3 linked regions of the Bombyx mori genome follow. The protein of the gene in region 3 purifies or fractionates together with the protein of the main gene of each other region. This does not show direct contact. Links are inferred from orthologs where the notes say so. Each region holds a gene or a part of one and is shown on either strand. Other genes may lie near its edges.

The links. The genes of interacting proteins can lie anywhere in the genome.
Region 1: the proteins of ubiquitin carboxyl-terminal hydrolase nonstop (region 3) and histone acetyltransferase KAT2A purify together in Drosophila melanogaster (affinity purification with western blotting, with the first as the bait; 3 studies listed by BioGRID). This does not show direct contact. The link is inferred for Bombyx mori from reciprocal best matches to the Drosophila melanogaster genes not and Gcn5.
Region 2: the proteins of ubiquitin carboxyl-terminal hydrolase nonstop (region 3) and transcriptional adapter 2B purify together in Drosophila melanogaster (affinity purification with mass spectrometry; 3 studies listed by BioGRID, with this or other methods). This does not show direct contact. The link is inferred for Bombyx mori from reciprocal best matches to the Drosophila melanogaster genes not and Ada2b.

What each region holds. Positions count from the first base shown.
Region 1 is NC_085120.1:4,791,267-4,795,394, reverse strand, and holds the start of histone acetyltransferase KAT2A, read left to right. Parts: upstream 1-1,328; 5' UTR 1,329-1,516; coding exon 1,517-1,598; intron 1,599-2,691; coding exon 2,692-2,870; intron 2,871-3,594; coding exon 3,595-3,721; intron 3,722-4,098; coding exon 4,099-4,128.
Region 2 is NC_085131.1:6,658,781-6,662,819, reverse strand, and holds the start of transcriptional adapter 2B, read left to right. Parts: upstream 1-1,239; 5' UTR 1,240-1,345; coding exon 1,346-1,456; intron 1,457-1,551; coding exon 1,552-1,611; intron 1,612-1,688; coding exon 1,689-1,830; intron 1,831-2,567; exon of another isoform or gene 2,568-3,178; coding exon 3,179-3,396; exon of another isoform or gene 3,397-3,468; coding exon 3,469-3,541; exon of another isoform or gene 3,542-3,864; coding exon 3,865-4,018; exon of another isoform or gene 4,019-4,039. UniProt on the Drosophila melanogaster protein: Component of several Gcn5-containing histone acetyltransferase complexes that regulate nucleosome organization; involved in acetylation of histone H3, particularly on Lys-10 (H3K9ac) and Lys-15 (H3K14ac).
Region 3 is NC_085123.1:10,250,363-10,254,397, forward strand, and holds the start of ubiquitin carboxyl-terminal hydrolase nonstop, read left to right. Parts: upstream 1-1,235; 5' UTR 1,236-2,418; coding exon 2,419-2,538; intron 2,539-3,255; coding exon 3,256-3,491; intron 3,492-3,766; coding exon 3,767-3,932; intron 3,933-4,035. UniProt on the Drosophila melanogaster protein: Histone deubiquitinating component of the transcription regulatory histone acetylation (HAT) complex SAGA. Catalyzes the deubiquitination of histone H2B, thereby acting as a coactivator in a large subset of genes.

The DNA.
Region 1 (4,128 bases), on a different chromosome or scaffold from region 3:
GAGTCGTCGATGCAATAACGACTTCTTCCTACACGCCCACACGAGTAGTAGATAGCCGTGTCATCGGCGAAGAGTGCCAGATGGGTCTTCGGAGACCGGGGTATATCATTGATATACAAATTAAACAGTAACGGGGAGAGGGCGGAGCCTTGCGGGACTCCGGCTGTAGGCTGTAACGTGACGGGGGCGAGAGTGCGTTCCCTCGACCCGATATCGGAACGAACGGTTCGACAAGTAGTCTCGTATGATGAGCCATACCACCATTAATCACTTATTCCTTAGTAACAAAATTTGTTAGAATAATTGGTAATTACATGCCTGCTTTGAACAACAACATATGTTCATTCGGGGTTGTCCGATTGCGCTGAACTAATTTTAAGTGATGAAATAGATGTTTTTTCTAATTCTCTCATAGCTTACAGGAAAAATTTGTCGCAGATCATTTTCCAACTAAATATAAATTGATCATAAGTAATTGAATGTAATCAAGTTTTATATATAATATTCGCATATTAGAGTCGCATTATGCTCTGTAATTGGAAAACTAATACAGGTAGTTTTCCAGTTACAGAGCATAATGCGACTCAGTGACGCACAATGCCGAATTATGCTGAAGCTTATTTATGCATTGTGCCGCTTAATGCGCTCTTGTGCTGTTATTGGAAAACTACCAGAGACGGTTCTCCTTTTTTTTTAAGAGATTTTATGACCTGGTAACTGAGACCTTTAAGTCATGTCTTATTTTAATGTATATTCTTAATTTTATGAAAAATGATATTATGGAGTGAAATGAAATAAAAATGATTAATTTCAGACTTTAATCAACTGGGATGAAATTAAATAAGATGATATGAGATGAAATCTAATATCAGTAAAATGGTGGTCATTTACTAAGATTTTTTCAGTGGACTTTTTGGAGGATCCCGAGAAGTTACGTCCAGCGGCTTTGTTTCATTTTCCCACATTTGTGCACTTTCACAGATATTAAACGGTTAATAAACCACCATTATTACACATTTAAACCCGAAGAAACACTAAATAGACAAAAAAAATAAAAAAAATCACACAACTTCACTCCTCGCGTTCCCGCCAAAAAGTCCAGACGGTTCTCCTTACCTCTACCCTCCATAGATTATAGCAAAAAGGAGACAAGTGTATTATCTATGAAGATATATCATATAAGACCTGGCTTCGGCTTTTTTGAAAATTTATTTCAGAGAATATATAGAGCAGACAAGGCTGTATGGGCTTAGATTCCCTTGCCTTTCCTAACAAGGAAAAATGGTACCAAAAAAAAAATATCTATGAAGGAGACAATACTTGTCATTTGAATCTGAAATCTGTGTTAACGTCAACTGTCTAATTCTGATAAAAAGTTTGACTGCTGTTGTTTGCGCCTTATTTCATGTTATCAGTGTAACTATTTCCAAAATGCAGTGAATACATAAATGAGAGCGTTGACTTCTTATTTACGGGAAGAATTACTGCGACAAAAATTTGTTTGTGATTGTATATTATGTCTCAAGCGACTGACGAAATAGCTGACATAGCAATGACAAGCACAGAGCCAGACTCCTCACAAAATCATACACATGAAGGTAAATAAACAAAATCACGCTTCTTCAACTATAATTAATAATTTTGTATAGAAATCACCAGAATAATGACCTTAACATCTTATCGGCTTTTTTAATATATGTAGTTGAAAATGAAAACACCACGTGAACCAAGTTAATTGTAACTGTAAATTTAAATGTATGTGTGTAAATTTAGCTATTGAGCTAAATTTTAACAAAATCGAAATTCAACTGTGTTTTGTATGTGGTAATTTCTCCCGCTATTCTATAGATAGTTGTAAGCCATTAGTACTTGTAATTTCTCTATTACATACACATATAAAAGAATCTTATATAGTGATAGTCTGATCAGCTATTTTTCAGAAAGGCTGGAAACCGTACTTTCTTGAGCTACTACTACATAACCAGGTCTATCTATATTCTCATAAACTTTCTTATCTCAGACTACCCTCATTACAATATTCACCGCTATAAACCAGGTGTGGTGTAGCTTTATATAAGTATGGCGACTAATAGGCCATGTATTGAAAAGCATATTTTAAGTGATGGCCCAACTTGCAATTACTACATAGAAGAATTAGCAGATATTCACCATGTACATGGCGGGACAGATAAATCCATTCCTCATAATTATTCTTGTCATTATATATAAAAATATTATATAGAAACAAAATGACCAAAGGCTGCTATTCCCAAACATGGATATGAAACTGTGTAAGCAATAAGTTTGAAAATGAACATTAGAGGTTTAATAATCATTAGAGGCTTACAACAACAACAACATTAGAGGTTTAATAATCATTAAGGTGCTGGCGAATATTTGTTCAAGTAATAAAATAAAAAGTGCTATCAGTAAAAATTACCACTACATTCTTGTTTGTATCTGTCAAAGCAATTATGAAGGCTTTACTAGGTAAAATAGTCATTTTGGAATGTAATCTGATTGATCTGATATTTGAAGGTGAACAGTAACTTGCACAGTGTGCTTTGTATAGCCACAGGAGATCTCAACACCAAGAAAAACAAACTTCTCCTTTAATTCCAAATAAATTTATTATAATTTGCTACTAAACTACCGCAATAACTCAGCGTTCATTTACAAACTTTCCTCTAGCTACATCAAGCTTAAGTGCAGATGATGCATCATCAAGCAATGCCGGGACTCCTGCAGGCAGTGAAGGACAGGCTTCCCGGCAGTCTAACCTACAAAGGATACAACAAAGAAAACAACAAGTTTTCAACTGGCCCCATAATAAAAAACTACTCAAACTAGCTATATATTCAGCCTGTCAGGTATTGTAAATGAAAATGTTACTAATGCACTGAATGTAATGATGTCCTATCATGACTTTTAAGCGATAAGGAATTAAAAACCATGAAAACATTATTTAATAAAACGAAGTAACTCCTCTTGATCTCAACTTAACATTATACCCATAACTTAAAAGCAAATAGCAATGAATGATGAAAATGATTTTGAAAAACATAATGTTAAGTGTACTGTATAACAATATAAGTATCTAATTTCTAGATTTCATATCCTTTCGCAAATTCTAATTATTCTGCCTTCTGTGAAATAATAAAATGAAAAGAAACATTAAAAAATATGTTATAATTGAGTCGACTATTATCAAAGCCGGCAATCTGACTTTTGGACAATAATTGGTAAATCAGAAAAACGAATTATTGACTTTGTATTCCATTGGCAGTCACAAAACTCTTCGGAACGACATCTTAGATAAATAACAGGTTAACTATTAACCTTTATTTAATGCAGGTTTTAAACCGTATTCTTTGAAGGAGACGATTATATTCAAATGAATCTGTATTGACATATCAATAACATTTTTTTGTCCAAATGCACAGATTGCCGCCTTTGATAATAGACGACTCAATTCAAATATTTTCTATTTAGATGTTAGTAGTACCATTAACCATCAAACATTATAAGTTTATGGACTTATTCAAATTTGACTGACAATATATCATTAGCTATCAGTTTTAATATTTGTGGTAGACACCAGATTGTAACTGCAATGGATGGAAGACTCCAGTAACACAGCATGCGGGCAAGACTCCTCGGGCTGATAATCAGCCCCTTGCCAGCTTCAATGACGTGTGTAGAAACTGCAACCATGTATTAGGTATGAATGAGGAATCTAGTTTATAAATGCCTTTAATTTCTAGAGGGTTAGGTTGAAACTTGTCTTAAAAACAATTTGTAGTAAAATGATTTAAGAGTTTTATTCAATAGCACGTCGTTTAATTATTTTCAATTTATTGAATAAGTGCTGTTCTGATTTACAATATGTCTTATGAATAGTAAAGAACTACTCTAACATACCGAAAACAACTACGAAACACTATTTACTAAACTAAGCATAAAAATTTCTCATTCAAGAAAATTCATGTTTCATTCATTTACAGAATGTGCTATCATTATTAATGAATGGAATATGGTAGGTTAGGAGGTTAGGTAGGATAGGATTTTCAAAGATATATTTTGTGTATCTGCTTCCAGAGAAACATGTAAGTCAGCTACAAGGTTTGC
Region 2 (4,039 bases), on a different chromosome or scaffold from region 3:
TAACAATAAAGTTTAATTTTGTATTCATTTATGTATAGATTCTCTGTCTACGCTCAAGCAAGATTTGAGAAAACTTGAATTAAAAACATTTCGCTGTCATATACAACAGAATATAATCTGTAGTAAGTTTTTTTTTTGGGATTTCAGACCTGGTATTTACAACCTTTAGGTCAAATCTGTAGTAAGGTTTTGGAGCTACAGACTAGTTAGAAATTATTTTGGATTTACATGTTCCATTAAGTAGTAGTTTTCTTTTTACCACTTACAGCAACGCTCATAAGGAGCATGTTACTATCACAGATTAATATGCAGTATTATAAGAGAGCTGCTTTTAAACTAGAAATTAACGAATTTCATTGGAATTATCACTATTTGTAAGACTAGTAACAGTTTCCTGGTTCAAATTTAGCTTAGGTCTATATTTTACGTCTATGGTTGCCTGGTAAGTTCGACTATTAATTTGCAAATTATACTGTACATCGTGAATTTTAATATCACCGTCCTTTTCTATACTTGCGTTAGGAAGAGATATTGTAGTAAAAATACGTCTTATCAGACATTCGACAGGAATGATGCGTCTTAGCTTAACGTTAAAAATCTTTTTCACACAGTAATACGGTTTTCTAAATGAGAGCATTAAATTACAAACAAAACAGGATTTTGATTTTGTCGAACTGTCTGTAAACTGTAACTGTAAAAACTGTCTCACACTTCAAACTAGAATGCATGATGGTTTCATGGAAGAAATACACTAATATAAGCCTCTTGTCGATCGCAAGACCTATATTGGTTTATTATTTCTGTGCATCGTTCATTGTTCAGTTTTCTTAGTTGTATTTTGTGACAACAACGGGAAGCGATAGGGTAGTTTTTTTTTCTACCTAAGCCGATAGCCTTGAGAGGCTATGTCAGTCAAACCTAACAAGTAGGTGAGCTCACGGGGCTCAAACCTGACGATTTTGCTAACACTAACCCTAGCAAGAGCAGTGCTTCGCAGAATCTACTACCGGATCGGAAACGCGACCCACTGTGAAGATCCGGCGAGAAACTCGGTGAACTGTGTCTGTGGGTTAATTTTCTCGCCGATGACCGGATAGGGTAGTGTTACTCCAATCTTGCGCTACCAAATTAATTTTCAAATACATAGTAGATTCAAATCTATTCAACATGTTAGAATGCGTAGTTAAGTTTTAGGAAATAAAATATTTTACAAAATATGTTTTATTACTCTGGTAACTCAAAATGTTTGGGAATAAAAAACGTAAAATGGCTTTGGAAATTTGTGCGCTAATCTGAAGCCTGCCAACGTACAAGTTTAAAGTTTGTTTTCACTGTAATAAAAATCATGTCATTTTCAGATCTTTACGCTAAATATAATTGTACATATTGTCAAGAGGAAATAAACGGCGTAAGAGTTAAATGTACTGAATGTGTTGATTTTGATATTTGTTTGCAGGTAAAGTAGTTGATACTGCCATTTTTGTTGATAGTTTTGGCGCAAAATTTAAAATTGTCACTTAGAAATTAATATGCAATAAAATGCATTTTCAGTGTTTTTCTCTTGGTGCTGAAATCGGACAGCACAAAAACGATCATTCATATCAGTTTGTGGTAAGCACTTTATAAACGACTACTGTAATACTATTACAGAAAGTAAATAGATTTTCAAGAGTGTTCTATTTTTCCAGGACTCTGGGGCTTTTGGAATATTTTTAGGACGTAGTAGCTGGTCAGCTAACGAAGAAGTAAGATTATTAGATGCCATAGAACAATTCGGCTTTGGTAACTGGGAGGATATAGCAAAACATATTGAAACAAGAACTCCTGAAGGTAATTTAATGATATAAGCTACTCAGTAATCTGCTGTCTTAGCACTGTGCTTCGGTTCATTTTTCAACATTGGCATCAAACAGCATACATTGCATGCCTTGGCAAAGAATACCTAGTATATGCATACTATTATTTGTAACTTTTTATCTAAATGCAATAACAATTTTCAAAAATAGCTTCTGCAACGAAAAAACATTGTTGAATAAAATATGGTGAATATTTCGAATTTCAATTTTTTTTAAAGCTTCAGCTTTTATATTTGGGTAGACGTGCTTACCGTCTACCTGTTGTTGTTAGGTGGTTACGGGATTCAAGAGATTTCAACTACGTAAATGTTACTAGCCACCTTTAGGCATGATTACTAAGTCTCAGTTTTATAATATCGAGGGGTGAAATGCTATTTGGTATAACGTACATTACCTTAGTAATTAAAGGTATACTTGGTATCAACAGTTCGATGTTTTTAGTTGAATTTCAATTTACGTTTACTCCATTCAAATAGCTGAAGACGTTTTTTGGTTATGATATTTTTTCCAATTTTTAAGCTTTGAATGGCCTTCCTGTAAAGTTGTCAAAAATGTCATTTAAACCGAATAGCCTTTTACTCCCTTGATATAGTAACTTTGCATATTTAATGGTGACAGCATGGTCACAACCATTCAATAATGTATATAAACTCACCACATGCAATGTTAAGACAGGATTTTTTCATGGGCTATGGAAGCTCAAAATATATATTAAACAAGAATAAGAAATATATATTAAACATTTACATTAAATAAATTTTGTTGGGATTAAATTTACATGATGCATATCCTTTATTTTCACAAGTAAAAAAGAATAATTTGGAAATAAATCATCCCATAAGTTCAAATCAACGATTTAACACCAGTACTAAAAATAATAAATAGGGTGAGAAGTAATTATTTAAATCTGTTGAGAATACTTCTAAAAATTGACACCGCAAAAGGACTGACCATGTCAATCTCAGATTCTTTAAGACCTCTGCACTCTTCTAAACTCCTTCCTAAACCTGTAACAGCGATGGAAGCATTGTAAACAAATATACTGAACTGCGACTATAGGTAGAGCAAAGGAGGTTCTGCTTCACATGGTGGCAGTGGTACAGTAGTGCTGAACTTTAGAAAGATTACCAAAGAATTATCATACTATATATAAATTTATTAATTAAATATAATAATAAAAATAAATAATAATCATAATCATCGTTCTTTCCTATTACCCTCTGCTGGGGTGTAGGGCTCGAATCAAATCCTTTCATTTACATCATTGTTATAAGAAAGACAAATAAATAATAATAACAAATAAACATAAATTTCAATTACAGAAGCAAAAGATGAATACATTACTAGGTACCTGGAAGGCACCATAGGCAAAGCAACATGGGGCAATATTGAAAGTACATCTCGCCCATCACTACATTGTGCAGATAAAGATGATGGCCCACTTGGTCCAACTGCAGTGTCTCGACTACCAAACCTAGCTATAACAGTAGACGAAGCAGCACAACTTGGGTATATGCCAAATAGAGATGATTTTGAAAGAGTAAGAATGAATTTTTTGTACTATTTACTATAATAAATTAAAATATTGTTCTACAAAGTGTCGAAATTTCAGGAACATGATCATGAGGCAGAGCAGTTGATCTCAACATTATCATTAAATCCAGAAGATGATGAATTAGATGTTGGTAGGTTATATATAGATATATATTCAATAGATAAGTGGTTTTTGGTTGATAAAATATGTGGTTTTTAATATAATAATATCCTTTTAAAAAAATCATAATAATGACTGATAGACTGCCGACCTTGAGCTTGAAATTTACATATGAATTATTCACTCTGAGACGTCTCTTATTTGATACATATTATGAACAGGCTAGACTAAAAGCTTTATAAGATCTGTATATCTATTTTATGATTTTAAAACGTCTCATAGCTTAGTTAAATACATATAAGATATATATAATAAATAAAAAATGACATATCCCGTTTTTTTTATTTTTTATAGCACTAAAGCTATCACAAGTTGATATATACATCAGAAGACTGAGAGAGAGAACGAGACGAAAAAGATTAGTTAGAGATTTCCAGTTAGTGTCTGTCTTCTTCAACAATCAGAGGAATAAACAGAAGACCCTAGGAAAACTTGCCAAAGAAAAAAAGTATGTACCAATAATATTTTT
Region 3 (4,035 bases):
ACAGAACTGTTTACCGCGTTAACGTAAGGTAATTGCGAGATAACAGGTGAAGCTAACTCAAGAACATGATTGATTAGATTAGCAAATTGTACCGACCTGTATTTCTAGCAGTAACTCTGTTTTCCTACGTCGTATATCAATCAAAGTCTTCTGCTGTTCAGCTGTCAGCTCTGAAAATAACGGTATGATGACCATATTAATCCATGGCACATAATAGTGGCCATTGAGGTCATTATAGTAGCAAAACATCTTCACGTCCACAAATTAAATTACCATGACACTCACCCGTATGAGTAAATGGATCAGTATGATTATTGGGACCATTGCTTCCACTAAGGGATAGATTTTCAAAATCACTTATCATTTCTCAAAATAATTTAAAAACAGTAAACAAAAGTTTACATCATTATTGAATGACTCGCGGCCATATTTATTTACAACATTTCAACAAATAGCTTGAAATATAGATTATACACTTATGCTTGAAACAGCACTTAAGTACCCAAAGAAATGTCTACTCTATCGAAAAGTTAGTCTCGCTTCCACAAGCGAACTAGAATATTTTAGTTTCACTTTTATAGCAATGGCCACCCTGTTCATGCTTAAAATATGATAATTTGGCCAGTTAAGCTGTCTTTGGGTTCCTTTATTATTCCTTTTATCTCGTAAAAAGCTGCTATGTGATTCACCATTTACATTAAACAAGCAGCGTTATCTAAGTATAAAACATTTGTATTTATTAGTGTTATATTATGACCATCCACCCAGCTTAAATCAAAGGAGCTATGCGTTCGGGTCTGAAGGGTTTACAGGCGTTGTTTAATACAATTAAAATATTGACCCCAAATCGCAAGATGAGAAATCCGCGTTATTAACACTCATAAATTCATCTACGCAATAAAGAAAATCTGTCAATCTTTTGCATGTGATGTACAGATTTCTTTTTTTGAGCTGAGTTGAACTCCCTATTGCATGTTAGAGCCATGGATTTTTTTTCCCTACCTAAGAGGCTATTCCAGCTACGCCCGAATGGTTGGAGCTCACGGGCTCAACCTGAGAGAATTTGCTAACAAGAGCCCTAGCAAGAGTAGTGCTTCGCAGAATCTACCAAAGGATTGGAATCGTGACCCACTGAGAAGATCCAGCCAGAAACTTATAGAGGATAGAACTCCATGGTTAGAACTCGAATATATTAAGTGTATAATCTATGGTTAGAACAAATGTAATTTCTCTATGGACTTTTTGGCGGGAACGCGAGGAGTGAAGTTGTGTGATTTGTTTTATTTTGTCTATTTAGTGTTTCTTCGGGTTTAAATGTGTAATAATGGTGGTTTATTAACCGTTTAATATCTGTGAAGGTGCACAAATGTGGGAAAATGAAACAAAGCCGCTGGACGTAACTTCTCGGGATCCTCCAAAAAGTCCACTGAAAAATCTTAGTAAATGACCACCATTTTACTGAGATTAGATTTCATCTCATATCATCTCATTTAATTTCATCCTAGTTGATTAATGTCACAAATTAATCATTTTCATTTCATTTCACTCCATAATATCATTTTTCATAAAATTAAGAATATAGAATAAAATAAGACATGACTTAAAGGTCTCAGTTACCAGGTCATAAAATCTCTTAAAAAAAAATAATTTCTCTATGTATGTATAGTCCGGTGCGTTGAATCGTTATAATCTACGCAGCACCTTACCGACACCCCGCGGACTTTTTGGTGGGAACGCGAGGAGTGAAGTTGTGTGATTTGTTTTATTTTGTTTATTTAGTGTTTCTTCAGGTTTAAATGTGTAATAATTGTGGTTTATTAACTGTTTAATATCTGTGAAAGTGCACAAATGTGGGAAAATTAAATAAAGCCGCTGGACGTAGCTTCTCGGGATCCTCCAAAAAGCCCCCTGAAAAAATCTCAGTAAATGACCACCATTTTACTGAGAGTACTGAGATTATGTTTCATCTCATATCATCTCATTTCATTTTATTTCATCCCAGCTGATTAATGTCTCAAATTAATCATCTTCATTTCATTTCACTCCATAATATCATTTTTCAAAAAAATAAGAATATAAATTAAAATAAGACATGACTTAAAGGTCTTAGTTACCAGGTCATAAAATCCCTTAAAAGAAAACACACACACACCCCGCGCCCCGTTCACAGCTTAGAGTCAAATAATTTCATTCAAGTCAGCTTCAGCAGCATAGATAATATACCTCCTGATATACCGATCAGCAGTCAGATTCGATTTCTTGGTTCAGAATTTTAAATTTTCATTTAATTGCTTGTTTTCAGTATTAGTGTTTTGTTATTTTTATTTTGGTTACCGACCGTCATTATCTTATTATGCTTTCATTCTAATTTCTGTCAGCGAGATATCTTTGTAACCGGTGAATTTACAAGCCAAAATAATGAATGACAATGGTTGCATACACCTAAATAATTTTAAGGCTGCTAAAGGCACTAACCCATATAAAATCGTACATGCATTTTTTGTTTCCTGTACGTCGTATGAAGCACGGAGATACAAGGTAAGATACTTCTTTTAAAAGAAAAGCTATATTTAAAAAAATGCGAAAGACCTGTACAAAAATGTTTCTGCGCTGCAAATTGTTCCAATAAAACTGTTTGATTTGTTTATGAAAAGTAAAGAAAAATGAGAAAAATAAGGATTGTTTTATTAAACTAGTATGAAATTATGTGAGATATTTTTGTGCTAAAATCTGTAATCAGCTGATTAGTGATCTTTGACCTCGAAACAGCTGTTTGCGTTTAGTCGCAATTACGATGCGCCGTTCAATCTTGAGCGTTGCACATTATTGATTTTACTTCAGCAACATTGATATTAACTACAAATATGATTTCTTTGTCATCCATTTATGTGTTTCAATGGTAAATTTAACTAAACAGCACAGAATTGTGTTCTGTTATTAGAAATTTACACATAAGGGGAGGAATTTATAAAACGCGTGGTCTTTATTCGTGATAGCTTAGCGTAGCTTTCATATAAATACTATAAAATACACACGACTCGTGATTAGCCCGGCGACGCTGACATGGTCTCTCTAGAGACTAGACCATCAGCTTAGGTAGTAAAAAAAAATAAAAAGATTAAAAAACGATTTGCTTTTTCAGAAGTTTCTATAATTACAATTCTTGTACTAATAACAATTTAAGTAACAATGCCATTTAAATTAAACTAATTGTTAGTAACAATTGCACACAACATTGAATGATTGATGTTTCAGGCAACATCCTGTCTCTGCTTTGCTTGTGGCCAGCCTGGACCTCGTATGCATTCATGTCTCCACTGTATCTACTTTGCATGCTATGCTGGTCATATTCAAGAACACTCCAAATCTAAGAAACACTTCCTGTATGTTGACCTTAGCTATGGAAATGTCTTCTGTGCTCAATGCCAAGACTACATTTATGATAGGGAGCTTACTGAGATCGCTGCAATACATAAGGCAAAGGAGGCTAAGTATGCATCTTTTATTAAACAAATATAATTTACCTAATTGTACAACAGCAAGGAATTTAGATTTTTAGATTTAGATTTTTATTTATTTCACCAAACATAATATACAACTACAAAAGAAATTGATCATTTTAATGATAAATAGATATATATATTGACAAAGATATATGTAAATCTTAAATTGTATTGTTTTTCAATCGAACTGTACCACATTCTGTACTAATACTATACGTTACTACCTCAACTGTGATTTGTAAAACGTTTACATTTTGGTGCAGGTCCCTTGGTATAAGCATACCTTTTATGCCATGGTTACCAAACCATAATGAAGCAATGGCTCTTCGTCGCCTACGTAAACGGCGCCTTATCAGTCCTCATACTACAATAGGTTTACGGGGCTTACAGAACCTAGGATCAACATGCTTCATGAACTGCATTGTTCAGGTAACTTATTTTAGATGGTTTAAAAGTGTAATCCATGAAATAAAATTATGTGTTATCTCTTTATTTATTATTTACCTAAGTAAATTAAAAGTTTATACAAGTA